Oreochromis niloticus: one gene and its partners. The protein of the gene in region 2 interacts with the protein of the main gene of each other region in a pairwise test. Links are inferred from orthologs where the notes say so. Each region holds a gene or a part of one and is shown on either strand. Other genes may lie near its edges.

Region 1 (7,922 bases), about 19 Mb from region 2:
GGCCCACAAACTCACAGTCGTCTCCTTTCTTGATGACGCCCCTCTCCAGAGTGCCCGTCACAACCGTACCCCTACCTGCAACACAAGCGGGAACCTTCAGACTCAAAGTACACGACACTGTTTCTGAACTGAGAGCGAAAGAGTCAGAGATCTGCAATCTTCTTACTGCTAATTGGTAAAATCACTAATGAGTTGTGCTGCTGATGCTCCAAAGCTGTGACTGCATTATGACAAAATTAACTTTGAAGACGTCATTGGTGGGATATGAAAAACAAAAACACCATACAAATGTTTCTTTGTAGCTTTGCTGGGAGCTGCACTGTTCAGTACAGCAAAGCTCTGCAACATGTGACAAAACTGCACAATACATCACTGGAGCATCGATCTCTATGGCAAAGTTGATACCCAGATTTTAAAGCTCAGGTCCTTTTGACTCATTTCACTGTTTGCATATTAATTTCTTGTATATATTTCTTTAAATCTTTATTTGTACTTTGCTTTTTTTTGTACTTTTTTATAATTGTTGTGCATGAAGACAGCCTGAGGAAGTAACGGACCCAATGATGGTTAAAAATTCAGCCTTATTTCTTAAAAGAGTGAATCTTGATTTGGATGTTTGGATATTTTGAGCTCTGCATCCTGGTTTAAAAAGTTTATCATTTTCTTTCGCTTTTCCATTTGCCTACCACTTTACATGACGCAACCAATGGAAATGAAGAGAAATCACCATTATTCCTACCCAATTAGCTTCAGACTGACAATATCAGATAGTGTTTTCTCCTACCTGGGATTGAATAAACCCCTTCGATGGGCAGAAGGAAAGGCTTTTCCAGCTCTCTTTTGGGCAGAGGAACGTACGAGTCCACAATCTCCAGCAGTTTCATCACTGCATTCACGCCCAGCTCAGGAGCTCTGTTCTGAAATAGAGGGGGAAAAAAAATTATAATTAAAACACATCACATTCTAGCTTGAAACTTGTTCTCCACCACTGACGAAATACAAACTTGCCTGAGGTTACCTCAAAATTTTGACTTGACAGCTTGAAAATTCAAATTATTTTCTCAGAACCTGAATATTTCAGATAACCTAAAATTTTGACTTCTGGATGTCAAGATTAAATTACTCTGAAACTTCCCTGACTGACAGAGCTGCGACTGTTTTGCAAGTACAAAGCGTTTCTCCTCACCTCCAGAGCACAGAGTGCAGAGCCAATCACAACGGGTGTGTTCTCGCCGTCGTAGCCAAACTCTGTGAGCAGCTCGCGGATCTCGATCTCCACCAGCTCCAGCATCTCCTTGTCCTCTACAGCGTCCGCCTTGTTTATGAAAACCACCACGTGCTCTACGCCGATCTGCCGGGCCAACAGCAGGTGCTCACGTGTCTGAGGCATCTGGCCGTCAGTGGCTGCCACCACCAGAATGCAGCCGTCCATCTGAGCTGTGCCTGTGATCATGTTCTGAAAAAGAAAAGCAGATGCATTTCTTATAACATCAAACAAACAGGTGGGATTACATCCTGGTAACATCAGGCTGCATCCAGGTTAAAGAAGGGGAAAAAAAAAAAAAAAAGAATACCTTGACATAGTCAGCGTGTCCAGGGCAGTCTGTGTGAGCATAATGTCTGTTGGCTGTGGTGTATTCTACATGTGAGGCGTTGATGGTAATTCCTCTGGCTTTCTCCTCTGGGGCATTGTCAATGTCCTCATACTTCTTGTAGCGGGCCCCACCAGCATCAGCGAGCACTGGGGAGGATCGAATTGAGTGAAACAAATTCACTGTAGACTAAACAAAGTTATTACACACATTAACATGAGACTGTGTCCAGACCGGTGTGACAGCAGCAGCTTGAGTGGGTCTACCTTTTGTGATGGCTGCCGTCAGGGTGGTTTTGCCATGATCGACGTGGCCGATCGTCCCAATGTTTACGTGGGGCTTGTCTCTGCTGTACGTCTTCTTCGCCTCCGCAGCGAAGGTTCGCCGGCTCAGAGGCACAGCACACTGCGTGACAAAGAAGAACCCAATAATTTAACCACTGCAAAAAATCAATGCTTCACAGCGTGCAGCATGCTGTTTGTGCAACTACTTACCAATTTGAAGGAGCTGTGCAGGAGGCTTGGTGAAGAAAGCTGAAGGGCTGAGAAAAGGGAATCAAAAAGTTGGACAAACTTACATAAAGAGTGACTACTTGGTGCCACAACACAATAATTAAAACATTGCCAAACATATTTAAACTATTTACCTTTTTAAAATTCGGAAATACGTATTAATTCTGTGTCATTGAACATTTGGCTATTCATGCCTTCATTTTCCTTTCAATCAGTGCAGGCGTGCCCTCACATAAATGAGATTAGCACTGACGGCCACACACATTTTTCCTGAAAATCTCAGTCAGCATTGGCTGCACAGCTCCGGATGTTTTGCACTCGCACTGGCCGTGAAGCTTCTGTGCCAGACACAGCGCTAATAAAAAGAGTTTTGCATAAACCAGGCAGGTTATATCATGCTAACAGCTGCAGCTAACATTAATCCATTTTGATGCCTTTAGAACCAAAAAGGACGGCTTCACCTCTCTTTAAAGACTACCTATATCAACAGTATGTTTCCCTTCGTGTCTGGTTACCAGGTGCTGATTTTAGTAATCATTCTTCATCCTCGGTTAGTCTTATTGTTAGCTAACCGTCACTGGTAACGTGACCTTGCTCTGCTGTCGGAAGACACAGCATCACATTTTATTTTTCATATTCTTGTACTTCTAAATGTCCGAACAGTGTTTGATATTATGTATAAATCAATAAAGGTGGTGTAAATCAATTAACTGTCAGAAATGCAAACAGAGTGACATAGTTTAAATGAATTAAACAATATTTACCGGACAAACACGCACGCAGCCCCACAAGCGCCGCCATCTTTGCTGGTTAGACAAACCAAAGGCGATCGGAATTCAAGAAAATAATCTCCCAGCCCCAATGATGTCGTTCTTTTACGTACATGCACATGCGCATGTTTAAGTTGGTGCGTAAAATGTTCAAAACAGTAACTATTAACGTAACTACTACTAATACTACTATTATAAATGATTACATTAGACTAAGCAAAAGACTAAAACCCATTAAAACAAGAAAGTATCTGTTATGTAGCTATTATGACAAAAATAAGAGAGCAATCCCAAGTAGCCTGAACTTAATGTTTGTTAATAATATGTTTACTGATATCTAAAAGGTAAATATTATTTTTTACATTCATTATTAAGTTGTGTGTATTTTATAACAGATACATAAATAATACCAAACATATCGCAATCGATATGCCTTTCATAGTTTCTTCTGACACGTTTCTTCTGGGATTTGCATATTTATTTTGATGTAACTAATTCTCTTTGTAAATTGTGCGTACCAGCGTTACTGGATTACCGTAACTATACTAGTATAGGAACATTTGCGTCTATGAATTTTTAAATATTGAGGTAATACTGTCAGTCAGATGTTCACCATTATAATTTTGAGAGGCTGACTTTAAAGCAAAAAATGGAAAGTCTAAAATGACTTTGATTTGAGAGTAAAGAGTATCCAAAAATTACTTTGCTTGCCCATTTGGTTTACTTTTTACGGTAAAACATGGCGCCCCCCTTGCCACTCGTGAGATGAAGAGCTAGCTAGAACGTTCCAGCGCTTTCACGTTTCTGTGTTTATAGAGGGGGAGAGCTGTATCTGAGCTCAGAGAGAAACTTCGTCTGTTAACTTTACGTTGTTTTGGAGTCGGTTTAAAGGTAAGTGGGCAACGATAACCGTAGTTATATGAGGCTAGCAGCAGGTTTTGTATTATTAGCAGAGCTGTATGTTTATAGTAAAGTATGATCCTGGTGATATAAACTGTGGGGCTTTACCTGGTACCACTGCTAGTACACTTAAATTAACTTGAGGTTATTTTGAAATCTTCCTTTAGTTGACTTTCTTTTCTCCACTTTACCCTGTAGCTGTTAACACCATGTCAGAAGATAGGCAGACCAGGAGATATCCCCAGAACCTCCAAGGGGTCCTTCAGCTCGCAGTGGAGGCTGGATCCGCTGCAGAGGGTCCTGCCCCTCCTGAACCCATGTCAGAAGAGGTAAGTACTTGTTCCCTAAGCAGGATCAGGCCAGATGACCTTTGTAGACTTTGTAGCTCACACCAGGACCACTGCAGTGTAACTCTTGTAGCTTAGCCTCATAATGTGGCTTTGACAAAACTGAGGCTTAAATAAGTAGAATAAACCCTCATTTGCATGGGGATATTCAATTCAATTCAGTTTTATTTATATAGCGCCAAATCACAACCACAGTCGCCTCAAGGCGGTTTATATTGTACAGTAGATCCTACAATAATATAGTAATAATAACGTAGTAGAGTGGGTCCAAAAATGATAACAACAACAATAATAAATACTTTTGTTTATACAGGAGCATTTGGTAAGATGTGTTGCTCCACTTTGTAAAACATCCCACCATGAACTTTTAAATTTGATAAGTAAATAAATACCAATGCCATCAATGATGTTCTCTTTTCAGAGTTAAATTCTTAGCTTGATCCATCACAAATGTTTTTATTCAGGTGTCAGCCAATAACTGATACTACTTAGGGGCTCGATATCTTAAAACTATAGTGCTATGTATACTGTTAATTTGCTGTAGTTAGTTTTTCAGGCGTGCTACTTCTTCTTCTTGTGTCCTCCCTTTCTGCAGTTTCCTCAAATTCGGGAAACGTTGCACACCATGCAGCTCTCTGGGAATGACCGTGTTGGTTCTAAAACACTGTTTCAAACGGTTCTGTCTTTGAAATTAAAAAAAAATTCAGCTAAAGAAATTGTAACAATGTTTAAAGATACAGTGTTAAATTGTTTTATGTTAAGTTCTCTGTTTTGTGAAGACACAGCAGTGGCATCATCTCTTAAGTTTGATGCCTTGTTTGTGCTTGAATGTTAAGTGGCTCAGCAGACTAACGAAGAAACATTCTTCTAAAAATGGTCAGGTACAAGGACTGGACTGAAAATCAGTTTTTTAATAAAGAAGCCAATGTTGAAAGAAAAGCTTTGAAAGATCTTTGGAAATCCTGGAGAGTTATTGCTCAACTATTGCTTAAAAATTCAAAGAAAGTCTGGTTTCTTGGAAGTCAAATATAAAGAAATGAGGGGTGACTCAAGACTTTTGTACAGTAATATATAATTGCACATCACTTGAAATCTCATGTGTTTGAGTAAGACACTGATGTCCTCATCCTTTATTTTTTTTGTTAATGCGTGTTTGGAGGTATCACATCAGAGAATTTGAATTCAGCATGACAAACTGCTTCACGCTCTTTTTTTTTTTCTTTCTTCCAGAGGAAAACATGGCTGAGAGAAGCTCTTACAGAATTGTGCAAAGGGCAGATGGATGAAGTCGAGCAGATGAAGCAGTGCTTGGCTGTTCTGCGCAAAGAAGGAAGTGAAAGGGAGAGGGGTGGAGAGGAAGAGAGGGAAGACGATGATGAGGACGATGAGCGGGAAACGGCCTTTGAGATGCTGTCCGAGCTGTGTGAGAATCTGGACAATGCCAGAGGTAATAAATGGTATTAGAGCAGAGGCCACGCTAAAGACAGCATGTGTTCACTGTTGGTTGCTCACCGCATCTTGTCCTCTGCAGACCTGATGACCCTTGGTGGGCTGGAGTTGTGCGTCTCCCAGTATCTTAATCATGCCCAAAGTGGGTTGAGGTGGCGTGCTGCCCAGCTCATTGCCTCCTGTGCCCAGAACATGCCACAGCTGCAGTTCCACTTGCTTAGCATCGGGGCGCTGCCGAAGCTGCTGCAGCTGACAGATTCAGACCCAAACCCCACCGTCAGGGTGAAAGCTCTTTACGCTGTCTCATGTGAGTAGAGCCATAACACACACGTCTGTTTTGCTTCAAAATTGAACTTCATGACAACAAGTCTGCAACAAATTGCTGCACATCAGTCATTTTACATACATGATCCAGAACCTCGGATTGTCCGTGTCACAGTGAGAATTTTAGTGAGGTCAACAGTTGGTTCCCATAGTTGATGTTTTAGATGGACAGGCTATTCAACAGCTATTTTTAGTGGCCAGCCTCCCAAATGTATCACCTATGTTTATGATATTGTTATATCTCATGTTTCCTCTCAATTCAACTTTAACCCTAAATTATCTGCTGCTTTCTTCTTAAGTGCCAAATGGCACATGGCACCGTCTTATTGTCCCAGCTCTGTGCTTCACAACACTCAACAAAACTGTGTCCTGTCGTAATCATAGGTCTGGTTCGAGAGCAGGAGGCAGGTCTCCAGGCCTTCCTGTCCCACGATGGATTCTCCGTGCTGATGCGAGGCATGCAGTCGGAGAACGAGAAGCTCAGAACCAAGTCGGCTTTCCTGTTGCTCAATCTCCTGACGTCACATCCCGAACAGAAAGGTATGGATGGGAAGGACATTCAGACAGGATAGTGCTGTAAACCTGCACCAGTACCAGTAGGTTTACTTTGACAATACAACACTTTGTAGCCTTTTATTAAGACACAACATGGTTTATTAATGTCTCTAACAGCTTATAGAGCCACCTTTTCTGTGGAAAATGAAGATATTTTATTTAAGTTTTTGCACAGCTTTGCTCTTCATCCATGATTAGTCGCCAATATGGCAAGTTCTGCAGTTAAAGGGTAAAATAACATAAACAGTTTTTAAAAAGATTTTTTAACAATTAAATCTTGTGTTAAAACTTTTATACTTTCTCCCTTTTAGTTTTATCTTTGCGGTATGTGTGTTTCTCACTGAGCTTGCTACCTTTGTCCGGGGAAAACATGGAAAAACTATTTTATTCTTAACTACACATACATAGTAGACCATAACAAGAAGAACCACATCAGATCTTTTACTTTGGATTTTTAATTGGTTTACTCGTTAAACATCTATCTAAAGGTTTACAAGCTTTTCTTAAAATATTGCTTGATGTACATAAACTCAAGTATATTCCTGATTATTTCCCCCACAGACACACTTGTCGCCATGGGTATGGTACAGCAGCTGGTATCAGTTCTCCGTACACCGCATTCACCCGTCCATGAACATGTGCTTGGTGCCCTTTGCTGGTAAGAAACATTCATTATGATACTGAAAATCTGACATTATTTCATGGATTGTATTAGTAACTGTACCCGTCCTTGTTTCTGATGGTGGTGTAGTCTGGTGGAAGACTTTCCACAAGGGCTCAAAGACTGCAGGAATCCTGCTCTGGGCCTGGAAGAATTACTCCGACAGAGATCCAAAGAGCTCCAAGGCAAAGAAGAAAGTCAGGTAATTCATGTGTTTGAGAATCAGATCGTAAAACTGGATAGAAATGTTGTGGTTATGCTACAAAATTTAATTTCTGTCATGAAATGTGTCTTTTCCATGTAAAAGAGAGGTGATTGTGGTTAAAGGCTAACTAGTTGTAAACAATGAAGAGATATATAACTGAATTTGTTTAAAAAAATAAAAATAAGAAAGCTGAATCTTCCATTTCTGCCTCTTAAAGTCACATGTTTGTTTCCAACAGGAAGAACTTGATTTCTGTGAGCGACTCAGGGTTATGTGTTTCTCCGGGCAGCAGTCAGATGACGCTGGGATGGATCGTTGATTTTCTTTTTTTCTTTGTTTGCTTTTTGTTGTTTTGTTTTTTTTACCCTGACATGTTTTGGCATCAGTATGAAAAGATAACAGAAAATTCATGAGCTGGGACATGTTTTTTTTGTTTGTTTGTTTGTTTGTTTGGTCTGTTACGACAGTTGCATGTAATCCAGTACCTGGATTTCACTGTGTAAATAATTGTACTGTATATTGTAATGTATAAAACAACTATTTCAGTCCAATATTTGCTATTCTTAATATCTTAACTGTCAACCCAAGCATCTCCATTAAAGGTAGT
Region 2 (7,423 bases):
AAAATGTTGCCTTAAACTTCCAACTCTGGAAAGTTTCACAATTCAGTTTTCGTCAAAGACCAAAGCTGGAGGTCATCTCTGAAACTCGGACACCATTTCAAGATGAATGCATGACTCATCCTGCTGTTCAGCTTCCCATAAAGAGTGTGTGATGTGACCGACTGACAAAACAGGAAAACCTGTCTTCATTGGGCCAAAGCAAATATGACCGAGCTCTCACCACTTATTGGAGCCAAACACTCGGGGGGCGAGGGTCGGCACCAAATAGTCAGCCAGGCAGAGCAGCATGACGGTGCAGGACAGGCCGGTCAGCACTGATGGGTCCAAGTAGTAGATGAGCCTGGAGGACGAACACAAAACAGGCAGAACGGGTTTGAACATTTCATCGTTTAAAATCACGCCTTTATTTTTATTTTGTTACAATTTGGGGATATCTGCTCATGAACGCTGGAGCTGCAGTTTTACAAAGCACCTGCAGCTGAAAGACATGAACACTGAGGGTGTGTGAAACAAGCAGGAAGGCATCAGAAACAGTGCAGCAGTGTTCTAGTCTGGATTCACCTTCAGTAGATTTCAGGAATCGCTAATAACGGCCCAACCTAAGCTCATTTAGCAGAATCTGCATTGTTTTGCTTTGTGTTTCAACAGTGTGGAAAAGATTAACATTAATCTGAGTGTTCTGACAACCAGCTGGAAAACTGTAATTAGGACACTGGTTTTACATCACTGTAGGCTTATATTACTTGTCACAGGCCTGCTGATCATCTTAATTAGTAATAAGTCAAAACTCAATGCCAGAATCAGCCTGCCAAAGCCTCCATTTCACCCCGAGGGACGGTTACACTGCTGTTCTTTCTGTGGTGACGCCTGCTTTACTAACCAAGAGCACAAGTGTCTGAAAGAGAGTTGTGCGACTTGTCAAGTTTAACAGACAAAATTATTGTCATTTTGGATTTCTTCGGTTCATCGATCTAAAAACAACTGAGGCTGTTGGTTAGCAGTTTTGTAATTGCAGTGCCGGGTGGCGCTCCTCTGACAACATCATGGTCTGAGCTTGAACACTACAATAAACAGTTAAAATGTCTACCGTGGTTTTTCTAGTGGTTTTAATAAGAGCCAGAGTGTGCGTGTGTGTGTGCGCGTGTGTTGACCACAAGCAGCACACTGAAAGTGGACCTGTATTAGCTCTGCACCCTGCTCACTCATGGTTGTAATTATACGACTCATTTACGTTTACAAAAGCAGACAAAACTCCAAAGCTAACTCAGTTCAACAGAGCAAACATAGAAATGGCTGCTGTGCACCACTAACACGTTACACATCCTAAATTACACCATTTAGAGCTGCTGCGCAATTCTAGCAGTATGTTAGCAGACAGGAAGGCCTCTGTGCAGTACAGACAGATGAAGGATGAAAAACGAGGGGAGATACTCCAAGAGAGGAGATTTCACCTGGAGACAGAATCACCTGTACACAACAGTTGTAAGAAAAAGTGACATTACAACCAACCCAAAAACAGAAAAGACTTACAGTTATGATGTGATTATAGCCCTATGTCAAATACTTAAAGTAGTTTTTGAATAATTTATACTCCTGACAGAAGAAGGTAAAACTACATAAAGACCCACTTAAACAAAATATACTACAAAAAAAATAAATCCATGGAATCCACCAGAATCGTAAAATACTGTGATGCAAATCTTTGGTCAACCAACCATCAGACTGCTGATTAAATCAGGAAGATAGCTGACCAAAGACATAACACTGTGTGCTGTTAGCTTTACTGGGGGTTTCAGAATAAACCTCTCTATACTGGAAGAAACAAATATGAGAAATGCTACAGTGGTTTACTTTGCTCAGCCCATCTGAGTTCAAACCAGGCTGCTTTTAGTCGCTGGCAGATGTAAAATATAAAAATTTAATATAAGCCTCTCCCTGCTCTCAGATAGCCATCACTGCTGAGAGGAAGGAAACGTGTGGTGCCAGCTGTGTAGCGCACACTCTGTAGCAGACTCACAGGAAGAGCACGGTGGTCGCACCCATCAGCGCTCCGGGGAACCAGGGCTTCTCCCAGCGCAGGACCTGATCCCCAGCCAGGATCACCTCTCGCCAGCACTGCAGCTGCTCCTCCAGCTGGGCCGTCTCCTGGGCCTGAACACACAAACATTTACACATTACCTAACTGACCATCAAACTGTGTGATATCAGTGTGATCTGAGAGGAGCGTGTACTCAGGAGGGCAGTCTCTCCAGGAGTTAGTATAAAGGTGACAGTACTGTGCTGCCTCTGGAAGAGCGGCTAGCACCTTTGAAGTCATATGATGTGGGTTTATCCTGCTGTGTTTCATACACAGAGCAACTGAATGTAACGATACTCGTTTATATGGCTCTCAGTTTGTGTGTTTTGTGGCCTAGAAGTCTATTTGAGAAGCAAATTAATAAACAGGGTGTGTGTCTTTGGTGATAAGACGGCGCAGTGACAGAGCACTACACGTAGAAATAACCGGGGACAAACACAGGCTGTCAAACCACGTCGAATGAGCGTGTGATGACTCGATCTCAGTTTTTTTTTAAAAGCTTTAAAATGATTTCTGCGTTAGGGCGAGGCAGCAGCTCCACAAAAAGGAAGCGTCCCCGCTACTGAAGCTAAAATAAGCATGCTAACTAGTCAGCTAGCTAAGGTTAGCTGCGGTCAGCGGCAGCACGGACGGATAAGCGATCGGGGTTAAATCGCTTAGCTTAGACTTCTCAGCTGCCCGCATGTGTAAAGTTCACACTATTTACACAAATCTCTAAACAGCGCAGTAGTGTTAGCGCCGTCAGATTAGCAGCGACGGGTAAGGCTAACGCTCCTGCTGCAAACACGCCTACATCGAACACGAGCCTTTAAATTCGCCATTGTGGGTTTTAAAAATGCTTCATACTTACCATCAAGTTCATGCTTTTGTTGTCTCCTTCCGCCATTATCGCTAAACTGAGCGGTCTACTTTCTAATGTGGAGTTCTTTTAAGAGTTTTCGGAGAAACGACCCACAGAAGGACAGCACCCTCCGCTCCCGTTAGCTTCAGCGCCACTAACGGTCGAGCCGAGGCAGGATGTTTTTAACTGAAAAACATACGTCACACCTGTCCATAGAGGCACTCTGGGTAATGGAGTTCCAATATTGATCCTTGCCTGTCGAAAACATCTTTTTTTTTTTTTTTTTACATAATCTTTTATTCACAATCATAAATTTTATCAAGATAAAATAAAAAATGACAATGAATATATTCAAAAATTATTTATTATTCTTTAAACTTCCCATATTCATAAGAACAAATTAATATAACTACAAAGAAGTGTTAGCTAATTAGCTAAAGCGAAAGATTAATACATTAATAATAATTTAATAAGATACAATCTGATATGAAATCCAAGAGAGTTAAAGCATACTTTTAAATTAAAAATATTAAGTTACTGCATAATAGAGCATATACGTAACAGAGTACACCATTTCAAATTTAACAACAAAAAATAGAATTTAAAATGTAACGCAGCATTTTAAATTCATTTTAAATGAACAACAGCTAAACACATTAAGAAAAAGGAAGCATTACAGGAGCTTATTTTAATTTGGCATTTTAAGAATAAAGTTAAATCCCATTTTTAAAGAGGAAAAAAGAAAGAAAACTTTGAGAAAATATCAAAAAAAATTATAAGTTTCTCTTTACTTTTATTGAAAAAAGCGTTACAGAAATGATGTCACCATTAAAATTAAAGGCATGCTCATTTTTGCGCTTTACTGACACTTTCTGCTGAGAAAATACACGTTTTTTATTGCATTTTATTACAGTTTAAAGTTTGTAATGAAGTATCTGCAGCGCGTTAACACAGTCCAAAAGCCATTAAACAGCCCCCTCTACAGGATAAAGATCATTTTTAAATTCCACATCCACCTCGGTCTTCTGGGACAAGTAGAAACTTGAAATGTTATCAGGTTAATGAAAACTACCATTTATTTTAATTTGGGAGATTTTATAAATTAAAAAGAAATCAGTATTGTAAAATGAAAGGAAACTAGTTCACTACAGGAAGGTCTTGCTTTGTTTCTTCACGTGATAATCCAGCTTCTTTACATCCTCTGCTGTGACCTCTATCTCTACGCCTTGGTGTTGTACCTACATTATCATAATAATGTTGATCAACATTGCAACTAATGAATCATGTTGTTGTCATAGTTTTGCAATATGATAGGATTTTTTTTTAAATTCCTTTGTTTATATAAAACTTTCTTCTGGAACAAATGGTCTGCAGTCCAAGTGTTTTTATACAATTTATACAATACAATAAATATATGATCAATTCTGGTTTAGTGTTAGCCACCGTCATTTAATGCTAACTGCACGCTCAGACAACATCACTGGTCAGTTGTGACGCTGATCTTGGACCACCATCGTTATGATGATGTAGGAACAACGCCAAGATGTCAGATCATGCTACTGTTACGTCCGTCTCCCTCATTCACACACGTGTAAAGCATTCCTCCCTACTCTCACTACAAATCACAATGTTGTCTGTAAACATCATAGTCCATGACCCTGTGATCTCCCCCACCTTGAATCTCATGCCTGCACACCTCAGGACCCCTCATCACTGTCCTCGTTCATCCTCTTAACATGTCACATAGACATAGACAGCATGAAAATAATTTATTCCAGCCTTGTGTTAAGACAGAAGGAAGGGGGAGTAACAGAACTGTATTGAACATTTTAAAAAGGAGAGAGATGCAGCTTGTCTTCTGTTTTTGGCACTCAAAGGACACAAACCTAGTTAGGCCTATAAGAAATTATGTTCTCAATACATTTCTCCTCATATTTTTGTAAATTCTTCATAAAATAAACTCATGTTCTGATCTATATATAAATAATGTCAAAGAGATTTGACATCCCAGGCTCATCTTTACCAAAAAGTGGAGTAAAAGGACTTAACATCCAGCTCCTTTATTGTTAAAGACACACTGAGTTTTAAAACAGAGTACATGATTTTGAAACAGTTAATGATTTATAATTATAATCAGAAAATAATCAAGTATAAGTCTGATCAATATAATGAATGAGAACTGTAGTTTGAGTTTAGCGTAATAACGTCCCTTACAATCCAAATTTCAGTTTTTGAGATGCCTGATTTTTTTCACCCAGATTCCAGGAGCATTGTTATGACTATGATGTATCCTTGACTCAGTGTGTATGTGTGTGTGTGTGTGTGTGGGAGAGAGAGAGAGAGAGCACAGTGGATAGAGTGTGCGTGTAAAAGAGTGAAATGTGACTCCGGCCCATCATCATGCATGATTCTGAACAAAACAAGTGATACTGAGTATACTGTGAGTCACAAATGCCGAGTCATGCAGAGAAAAAGTATTCCTAACTGAGTTAAAAAGAGATCAAGTTAGAATCATAAAGAGTGATGATGTTCATCCTACAACAACATAAAAACTGAATGAAAAGTAAAGTATAGTCATTTGTGACTGATAATGAAAGTGACTGAACTTTGCTTTAAATCATGTATTTGAAAGGCTGTAGAGAGAGAGCAGCATAGAGTGATGTAGGTGTCATAGATGTCTCGTGGAGATCAAGGAGGGGAGGATAGAGAAGAAGAACATGCACAAACACCCCATGCAGACGGAATAAGCTGTTCTTCCTCTAGTTTCAGTATCAGAAGATCTGGGATTGGGAATTCACAGTTGGAAATTACAGCAAAAAACGCCAGCTGATCAAAGTGCAATACTGTGGACTCACAAATTGGATTTATATATTTTTTGGCCTTTTTTCTGCTTATTTTTGTTGGATTATAACGTCAAAGCATTTGTCTGTTTCCTGCTGGATTGCAACTTCCAAGGATTTGACTCCCTTCCTATTTGGATTTTATCGACACGGAACGGATGATGACGGATGTGTCTGAAGGACTGCAGCTGACCTGCAAGGCCACCCAGGCAAGCACACCTTTAGAGGGAGCAGGATCGACATTCAGAGGACTATAAAGCTGGCTCCATCCAAGGTATGCAGTGCCTACTGGATGATACCCATAGGATCAGAGACTCGGACTTTGCAAACAGCCGGTTCCAGACTTTCATGTATTGGGGATAACGACAGAACGGTGTAGTTTTTGTTTTGTTTTGTGAATATGGTTCTGTCTTTCAGAACCTGAACGCGTCAGTCTTTATCCGCGCCTGCGTGCTTCTGACGTCACTGTGAGTCTCGTTCTTCCTGCGGTTGGAGACCAGAGGGGCTATCTGAAAGCTAACGGAGCTAGCAGCGTTTCTTTATCTCTGCATTGTTTTAAAGACACTGTTATTATAATCTAATTTCTGTGATCGTGTGATTGTAAGGGACCTTATTAACCGCCAAATTATCTCAGACGCCGTTTTCTCTTCGCCCCCGCCCGGAGAACAAGCTGGTACGTATCAAACACGTTAGCTATATTAGCTTCGCTGTGTGTTGAGAGGCCTTTAGAAACATGGCGTTACATTCGCCAGTTGGTAAGGAAACCAAATGTCAGAGAAGCTGCATTTACTCCTTTAATATATATATATATATATATATATATATATATATATATATATATCTGCGTATCACTTCGGTTCTGTTGGCGCTAGTCATCATAATTGAGCTTATTTAACAATCAGGCGCAACAGCGGGCCTGTTATGTCGCACGTGTTAGTGCGCCAAAAAATTACTGTTAGCGGTAATAAATTCAGATCAAATGAAGAAGAATTCACGTTAAACACGAGCGGAGACGCACACCGGCCCCCACAGCGTGTGGTAACCGGTTCAGAGGCTGCTCCAGCCTGCGGAGAACCGAAGCTTCAAACAAACCCGTGTCAACAAAAAACAAAAAGAGTGCGAGAAACGGATTTAATGACACACCTGTGACAGTCTGAGGCTTTAAACAGGTAGTAGCTAATAATCTTCAGACACTGCCAGTTTTATAACGTCTACCATTGCATCAGAATATTTGGTTATTAGCAGCGGAAGCGTTTTATGAGAAAAGTTCTTGTTGTCGAACCGTAACCACATCCTGAAAGATTTCTAAAAGTTATCTTACCTCAGTGAGAATTTCTTCAGCTGCTGTTCAGGATCAGGGAGCTGTCGGCATAATTGTAGGAACAAATACTGTCTGTACAGGTTTTCCTACTCCTACCTTTTATACTATTGTTTTATTTTTATTTATTGATTTTAACCCGTATAATAGTGTCTTTATTTTTACACTAATCTTGTTTTTTAATTTAAGTTAAAGTATTTTAAGATTATTTTTTTTTTAACGTAATTCTACATTTTTGTTTAATATATTTTTACTTTGGATCTTTACTTGTACAGTACTTTATTCCACACACATTTTTAAAATTTATTTAATTTTTCGATTTTTTTTTAAAATTTTATATTTACTTT
Region 3 (8,059 bases), on a different chromosome or scaffold from region 2:
TGAAGAACTTTTGCTCAATATTGCTAGAGCAACATGTGAAAATCACAGATACTAAACCCACAAGATAAAATTCCTACACCACAAAACATTACCATCCTTAGAGGAAGAGAGAATCATTCACAGTCCGTAGGACCACAAAAGTAACACTGGAAATTTTAACAAGGATGTGAAACAAAGTGTTACTCGAAGCATGTCAGCTGGGCATTAGACAATCACGTTTATTTCCTCAACTAAATCAGTGGACCAAAAGAAAAATACAACTTTTCATTTTTGGTCAAGAAAAAACAAAAAACAGTGCATGAAATTCCAGATTTATGCAGGTTGAAGCATGGAAAAAAAAAAAAAAAAGACTGGCTGCTTTATTAGGTACACCTGCTTCACATATTTACTTATTAACACAAATATCTAATCAGCATTTAGGCAAATAGGCATGGTCAAGACAACCTGTTAAAGTTCAAACTCAGTATCAGACCAGAGAAACAAAGCGATTTAAGTAACTGTGATGGTGGAATGGTTGCTGCTGCCAGATGGGCTTTGTCTGAGTATCAGAAACTGCTGATCTGCACCTCTAGGGTTTACTGAAAAAGAAAACATCCAGTGAGTGGCGGTTCTCTGGGTAAAAATGCCTTCTTGTTGATGTCAGAGGTGATAGGAGAATGGTCAGCTGCTTTGAGCTAACAAGAAGGCAACAGTAGCTCCATTAACCACTCAGACTAAAGCAGCAGAAGCTCACACCAGGTGCCACTCCTGTCAGATAAGAACAGGAACTGAGGCTCACCAAAAACAGTCAACAGAATAATGATTCTGGATTTTTGCTGTGATATTCAGATGATAGCATCAAAGCTGACCGTAACAGGCTCCATCCTGCCTTGTTTCAATAGCTGAGGCTAATGAGGTGGTATAATAGTGTTGGGAATATTTTCTTGGAACATTCTGGTTCCTTAAGTACAAACTGATCATCATTTAAAAGCTCTCACTGTACTCAGATGGCCTCCACGGTCACCAGATCTCATTCCAACAGAGTACCGTTAGGACAGGACGGAACAAGACACTCACACCATGAATGTGCAGCTGACAAATCTGCATCTGTGTGATGCTCCATGTCAATATGGACTAAAATCTCTGAGGAATGTTTCCAGCCACTTGTTAAATCTGTGCCACGGACAATTAATGCAGTTCTGAAGACCAAAAGGCGTCCCCCCAGGTACCAGTATGGTGTACCTGTGACTGAAGTAAGTGTTTAGCTAAAACAAAACAAGACATTTGAAGAACTAAACCTGTAATGGTTTTTGAGGTTTCAGATACCAGACAATTAGTCAAACATTACTTCGTTCTGTTACCTTTACACACTCTATAAAATTATATCACAAGCAAAAGTGTGTGTAAACAGACATTATTAACTCTAATAGGTGTGCACACACTATCAAGATTACAATGAACAGAAAAAAAAGGGAGCAACTGAAGACTTTTTGTTGGCTACTCAAGTAACACTTTTAAAGTCCCTCTTGCAACCACATAATGTGTAGCACATGTAGTATTTCACTGTTACACCATTCAAAGTGAAAAACCAGAACAATACTGCAATTACAATATACATTATATCACATTTCCAGATGGATAACTCAAAAATTGCTATTGATGAATATAAGTGTAGGCAAACTGTCCTGACAAGTAGCCTAAAAAGAATGAAACCATTTAAAGATCACTGTTCTTTTTCGTTGATCTATATTACACCTTTCAACCATCTTTCAAACCAGTATACTATAAATTTTTTAGCTGAAAAAAAATGCAAATATTTTGTCACTAAACAGTGTATTCTGAGTTTTGGAGAAAAGAACTGAATGCAGTGCTTTTAGAGAGCTTCAACAACCTGCAGATACCTTTTTAGTAAAACAAATGTAAAGCTTTCCTGATGTTATCTGAACGGAATGTGTCAAAATAAGTTTTACATGCATTTCAAACTTTCAATAAGATGACACAGAGACTTCTGTTAAGAATGCTGATACTTTTACCACCGATAAGACAAAACACTAAAACCAGCTGTTTTGTATTGTGTAAGTCCTCTTCATGCTTCCAAAACAGCTCCGGACTGCCAGAGCACAGCCATGAGACCACTGGGTTTCTCCTGTGGTGTCAGGTGTCTGCAGCGATGTCTAGGCTGGTGGTGTTAGAAGAACATCCACCAGAGTGTCGAGACCCAAAGCCTCCCACCGATACGACATAAATAACGTCATTCTGCTCGGTGTAGAGTATTCAGAATTTTCCTGGTCAGGCTCTATCTTATGGGGGCCCTGGTGTAATGGACTCCCGGTTGAATTGCGCGCTCTTCCCGGTTAGATCTCTTCCGTCATTTTATCTTGCTGTTCCCCCCGTTGTATATTTACAGCGTATCTCTGCGGTGAACGCTGTTTATGCTTCCGAGCCTGAGCGGATTTGTCCAGTTAACTTTCCAAGAAGACCCAGCGGGACAGATGTGACAGGGGAGGAATCGCAGGGATGGAAGCTGTAGCAGCTGCCGGTGGAGGTCACTGAGCTTCACTGAGCATATCCTCCACCAAGAATGCCGTTCACAGCCACACGAAGTGCACGGCTACAGAAAAGACTAAGGGCACAGGGATTCCTTGGCCTTTTACTGCTTGATCTGCAGATTTGACAGCCGGCCATGCTAACTATGTGCTAGTTAGCGTGTTAGCCAAAATAACGGAAACTCAATGGAGTTGTGCTAATGTCAAATTTGACCCTGTCAGATTCGGAGAACTTTTAACCCTCGGGGAAGGTGTGGTGCCATAACAGACACATTCCTCGACAGCCCAAACGTTCTCCTCCATTGTGGATACACACTTACCTTACAAGCGGAGCTAATAGTGTTTCTAGCCCCTGAAGTTCTCAGGCTAGCCGTCAAACGGCCGCAAATCAGGGACGTCGCCATGTCTCCCTCTACAGCAAAGTGGATTGAACACGCATGCGTAGTGCAATTCCAAAGACACCCTCCCCACTGGCAATTTCAAATGCTGTCGGAAATTCCACAATTGACGTTCAGTCCCATGAAAGGAATATTATGGCCACATTAATATCTATCTATCTATCTATCTATCTATATGATTATTCTGAGAATAATCGAAAAACCTTCTTGAGAAAAAAGTCAAAATACTATTTTTTTTTAAAACTCGAATGAGTATTTTGAGAATAAAGTCGAAATGTAGAGATTAAAGCCCTCTGCAAAGTGCCTTGCGTAGATGAGCAAGTAAAATCGTACTTCAGAATCGATTTACGTTACAAGTAAATTGTTTATTTTTAACCATAAACACGGTGTGCAATCTCCACATTTCGCCTTTTTCCCCTCAAAATAGTTTTTCGAGTGTAATGATGAAATTTCGGCCGAAATCTCAATATGAACAAAATTTTTTATTGTTTTTTTCTGAATCTGGCCCTTTTACTACCATTGTACAGTGCTTAGGATGAATGACTGCTGGTGTGTGTTCAAATATCTGAAGACACGTGTACTTACTTTAAGGAATAAAAATGAGCATTTAAAAAGTAGCTAAATGTATTTATTTGTTTTAAATATCCAATTCATGCCTATTTCCCCCTTTTCATAACACTGAAAACACTCAAATTGGCTACGTCACATAATTTTAATTGCATACTGCAAAAACAAATCTTTATTTCAATCTTTAACCACAGTATACAACAACATAGTGTTTTACAATGAGTTCCTAAAGGCAGCACTATCATTGCCTCAACATACTGTAAATAAAGACTCCTTCCGACCTTTAACCTAAATAAATACAATTCTTAGTGTCAAGTATAAACTTGTAAATTAATAAACGAAGCCATATCTCATGGCTGGTTTTTAAAAAAAAAACAAAACAAAAAAAACATGTAGGCACCGTGTTGCACTCTTACATTAGTTCCACTTCTATGTAACAAGAAATGAAACCATATCTACCCAGTGCTCATTTCTGGCTTGTATCTCTATTATCTCCTCATCTTTCCACTCAAAAAAGTTGCCAAATGCAAGATGGCCCTGATGTACTTATTGCGCTTTTGCATTATTTTCTACTTCCACTTCCAGTGGGAAATAGTGTTCCAGCACATATGTGTCAGTTCTAATTTTCAAATTTAAGATTTGACAATTAAAAACATACAGACAACACCTTGCACCATGAAACGTACTGAACCGTAATGGATGAGATGATCTCTGACTGTATCTGCTTCCATCTAATGGTGTTCAGGAACATTTGAAAGTTGGTGTTCCTAAACATTAATAACAAAACAACAAATCCACATTCCAGACACAAAAAAAAGAGTAGAAAAATAGTATTCAAAAAGTATTTATTTACAAGACTGAGTATTTACAGACATATTTACACAACTTATATACTACGTTGCAAACATTCTGACCGTGACCAACTAAAATTAGATATCAAGTCTCTCACACACACACACATACACACGGTGTCACCAAAGAGCAAAAGAAGGCAAATTATTGTGGCTCTGGTCTTTGTTTTCTGAAGGATATTCTTTGATCTGTCCAGAATGACAAGTTCATTTTTGCTAGTTCTAGTTTATACAGTAGTTTCACTGAACTGTATAGTAACACCAATTAGCCTGGTTCTGTCCAAAGGGAACATAATCCACCTACTAACACCATAAACTCACTAATATTCAAAAAGGGTAAATTTAAAAAATCAATTTCTCACAGGCACAATAAATGACTGAAGCTGAAAATGCCTGCTCAGCTGTTGCTCGCTGGTGAGCTCTGAGTCCAACATACAGACACACACACACACACACACACACACACACACACACACACGTCTCAGCGTCTCTTGACTCTGAGACACACTTTTAGTCGGAGTCACTACTGCTGCTGGAAGAATCTGTGGACATGGCCTCTACATCATCTTCGTTCTCCTTGTTGTGACCCGGAGGCTCCAGGCCAAAGTCATTGCCGTGGTGAGGGGGCAGCATCCCCACTGAGACATCAGACGACTGCCACGGGTAATGAGGCGTCAGGACGTCTGAAGTGACACGAGAGAAAAGTGGTTATTCTGTGAAATGCCAGACACTGACTGACACTACTTATCTCAGCTCCCTTATATAGTATCTGAAAGCTGGCACTTTTTGCCAAGTTTCTTATGTTACAGAACATGATGTGGATGCAGTCTGAATGGCAACAAATAAAATCTGTGTTCAGTGTTTATACTTGATAAAAAGAAAAATAATGGATCCATCCTTTAACTTTTTATCATTATAACGATAAATTATTAACTTATACATTTTGAAATCACTGTAACAAACCTCTGACCTCATCTACAATCTCTTTGCCAGGAGGCATGGGCACTCCTTTCTTTAACTGCTCAGCTGGACTTACCTGGTAACCTCCCAGCAGCTAATGCATCTCCTGGCAGATGCCCATTCACACCATTGGTGGACAGGTTGGCCATGTGACCAAGCATCCCACTACGCATTTCCAGGTCGGTAGGGTACGGTCTGCGTGGATCACCTGTCAAGTATGATGACAGTGAATGAAGCTGAACATAACTTTTTACCAACACCCGGTGGGAGCTACAAGAGAGCCTGGCACATACCTGGCACCCAGTTGAGAGGAGCACACACAGCGTTACTGGCACTGATTCTGTGAGCATACTTGATGATTTCTTCTGATGAGATGCTTCCTGCAGAGAACATGTAAACAGTGTCAATTTATGAGCAAGACATCAAAGAGAAAACCAGCCATCAAACACAGCTTTCACCAGAACGTGTCGGGAGTGTTCCCTCACCTTTCCTGGCTCTTTCAATGGATTTCAGTTTCTCTTTTGCCTGGTAAACAGCAGTGGCCTGAAAGAGATACACAGAAATATATCAGTCCTCTCTATCACTTGTCACATGATGTTAGAATTTAAAGAAGATGTAGTTTCTGTTTATCATGACTCTTCATATGCTGGCCTCATTATTTTAAACCTTGACCATGTTTAATATGTACATCTGTAACAAAGTAAATCAGAAAAAGAAGAGAATCATAGGCCCCTTTACATTTACAATAGCAACACTATAACCCTGAACGCCTCTGCTGTAAGAGCACAGTGTCAGCTACACCAGCATACTTAAAACATTTGAGCATTTATTTCAATCTGTCAGCGTTGCCCTGCTCTGGATGAAAAAAAAAAAATTAAAAATTAAAAACAACAGACAAGCCAAACCCACCAGGATGTGTTCTGCTTCCTTCAGTTGTTTCTGGAGCTGCTGGATGTCACTGTCTCTCTTCTCCACCTCCTTCTCCAGCAGTTGCATCTCCTGGTGAACCTTCCCCTGCTGCTGTGCCACCTCCATCAGCTCCTGAAACTCCTTGTCCCTCTGCACCAACAGCTCCAGAATCTTATGGATAAAGCATATACACATTCTGTTATCAAAGATTTCCTATTTGATACGCTTCATACAGGTTACTGTAACTAACTAAAATCAGTCAAGTCTAACTTGTAAAATAATTTTAGGCATTCTCTGGAGACTCAGACACAATAAAAGGTTCAAAAGTTATGAAAGATTTATGGACAAGACGACAGAAAATCAGTTGGAAGGAACTAAATATCTTCAAATGTGACCGCATTAAAATTAAATGCTTAAATCTAAAAAATTATGGTTAGCAATTAAGCACAGGGTTTGTCCTTAAAGAAACAGTGATCCTGTATCAGTGATCATGTCTCACCAAAACTTTAAAACAGCAAAAAGCAAAAAACTTAAGACTGTGCAAGTCCACAAAGAACTTAAAGATCAAGTACCAGAAACTGGAAAAATACAGACACCGAGTGGCAGACAAGTATCAAACTGGACAGTGTTTCACAACACTGACCAAATATATAGCTGGAGACATTTTAGAATAGCTGCCACATAGTGAGACTTGCTTGTAGAAGGCCTTTGGCTAAGCTTTGATCACCACTAACCCTAAGACTACACATGGTCTGACGGTCACTGTGAGGGTCATTAGTTTGTTTAAATCTCGGTGTGTCAACTGCAGGCTGAGTGGGGTGTTACCTGCGTGTCCTCTCCAGGTTGAGGCATTTTCTGACTCCTGGACAGGGCCAGCATCTCTATCAGCTCCCTGAAATGAACGCACACACAATGAGAAATGGGTCAAACAGCACAACTCAATCCAACAAATCAATTTCTATCTTTATATATTTATTTACTTTTTAAAGCTCATACTGACGATCGTTTTCTGTACGCCTATGTTCACTTTGTTTCTCTGATTAGTCATTTTGGCCATTCTTGTGGTAGTTTCCTTTTAAAAATGACTATTAGCCGCTGAGTGTAGTACCTACAAACTCTTCAGCAACCTTGTTTTATAAAATGGACACACTCAGTCTTCTAACTGCTAAAAGTTTCCAAGAAAAGACTTAGAACAGTGTTTCAGGTTGTTTCAAATCCCAGGGTTCGTTATCTTTCTTTCAGAAAAGCCGTTGTTTCGGCCAGTGAGCGGCATGTCTGCTAGTAATCAGCACAAACTGGGGGTGCTAGTTCACGGCTCCAAATATGAGTATTTTATCTCTTCACAGATAAAATACGGATAGCTTACCAAACCGTTTACACGAGACACAAGAAAGCCCCCACACGAAGTTTAATTTTACCTGGATAAAACCTCCAAATCATCCAGCACAGACAGTAGTCTCTCCTTCGTCGATTTCTCCGCCGCCGCCATGTTTACTTTCTTTCCTCTGGTTTGCGCAAGACAGGAAATGATGTTCCAACATGCTAATGCTTCTTCTTCTTCTTCTTCTTCTTTATTGTTTTCGGGCAATTTGCGTTTTGGTCTCTAGGGTATGCTAGAGATATGACTCCTGTTCTCACTTCCGTAGCATTTGTTGGCGTTATTACATTAGTATTATCGGCAGCCCCAAAAAAACAAACAAAAAAAAAGTATTATTGGCAGCCATATTCTAATCTAGACTTATGGTGCCTTATTTATATATCTATAATTTTCAATAATTTGTACTAAGTTCATCTACTCCAAATAAATTCCTCCCGTTTTTTTGTTTTTTACTTTTTAATGCACTGCATT

What was found.
Region 1: the proteins of arl6ip1 (region 2) and tufm interact in binary tests that used the Homo sapiens proteins (3 or more experiments, as listed by UniProt). The two-hybrid records come from large-scale screens. The link is inferred for Oreochromis niloticus from reciprocal best matches to the Homo sapiens genes ARL6IP1 and TUFM.
Region 3: the proteins of arl6ip1 (region 2) and sucla2 interact in binary tests that used the Homo sapiens proteins (3 or more experiments, as listed by UniProt). The two-hybrid records come from large-scale screens. The link is inferred for Oreochromis niloticus from reciprocal best matches to the Homo sapiens genes ARL6IP1 and SUCLA2.

The regions. Positions count from the first base shown.
Region 1 is NC_031969.2:14,220,073-14,227,994, forward strand, and holds the start of tufm (elongation factor Tu, mitochondrial), read right to left. Parts: upstream 3,002-7,922; 5' UTR 2,906-3,001; coding exon 2,869-2,905; intron 2,134-2,868; coding exon 2,087-2,133; intron 1,998-2,086; coding exon 1,859-1,997; intron 1,742-1,858; coding exon 1,575-1,741; intron 1,457-1,574; coding exon 1,187-1,456; intron 918-1,186; coding exon 785-917; intron 76-784; coding exon 1-75. Other genes in the region: hspbp1 (hsp70-binding protein 1), read left to right, coding at 3,984-4,103, 5,352-5,568, 5,653-5,877, 6,279-6,434, 7,011-7,107, 7,201-7,312, 7,554-7,634. UniProt on the Homo sapiens protein: GTP hydrolase that promotes the GTP-dependent binding of aminoacyl-tRNA to the A-site of ribosomes during protein biosynthesis. Also plays a role in the regulation of autophagy and innate immunity.
Region 2 is NC_031969.2:32,733,666-32,741,088, reverse strand, and holds the start of arl6ip1 (ADP-ribosylation factor-like protein 6-interacting protein 1), read right to left. Parts: upstream 3,094-7,423; 5' UTR 2,964-3,093; coding exon 2,928-2,963; intron 2,152-2,927; coding exon 2,018-2,151; intron 341-2,017; coding exon 221-340; intron 1-220. UniProt on the Homo sapiens protein: Positively regulates SLC1A1/EAAC1-mediated glutamate transport by increasing its affinity for glutamate in a PKC activity-dependent manner.
Region 3 is NC_031987.2:29,466,482-29,474,540, reverse strand, and holds the start of sucla2 (succinate--CoA ligase [ADP-forming] subunit beta, mitochondrial), read right to left. Parts: upstream 3,002-8,059; 5' UTR 2,930-3,001; coding exon 2,846-2,929; intron 1-2,845. Other genes in the region: med4 (mediator of RNA polymerase II transcription subunit 4), read right to left, coding at 4,852-5,024, 5,378-5,509, 5,595-5,681, 5,787-5,844, 6,211-6,381, 7,036-7,102, 7,629-7,699. UniProt on the Homo sapiens protein: ATP-specific succinyl-CoA synthetase functions in the citric acid cycle (TCA), coupling the hydrolysis of succinyl-CoA to the synthesis of ATP and thus represents the only step of substrate-level phosphorylation in the TCA.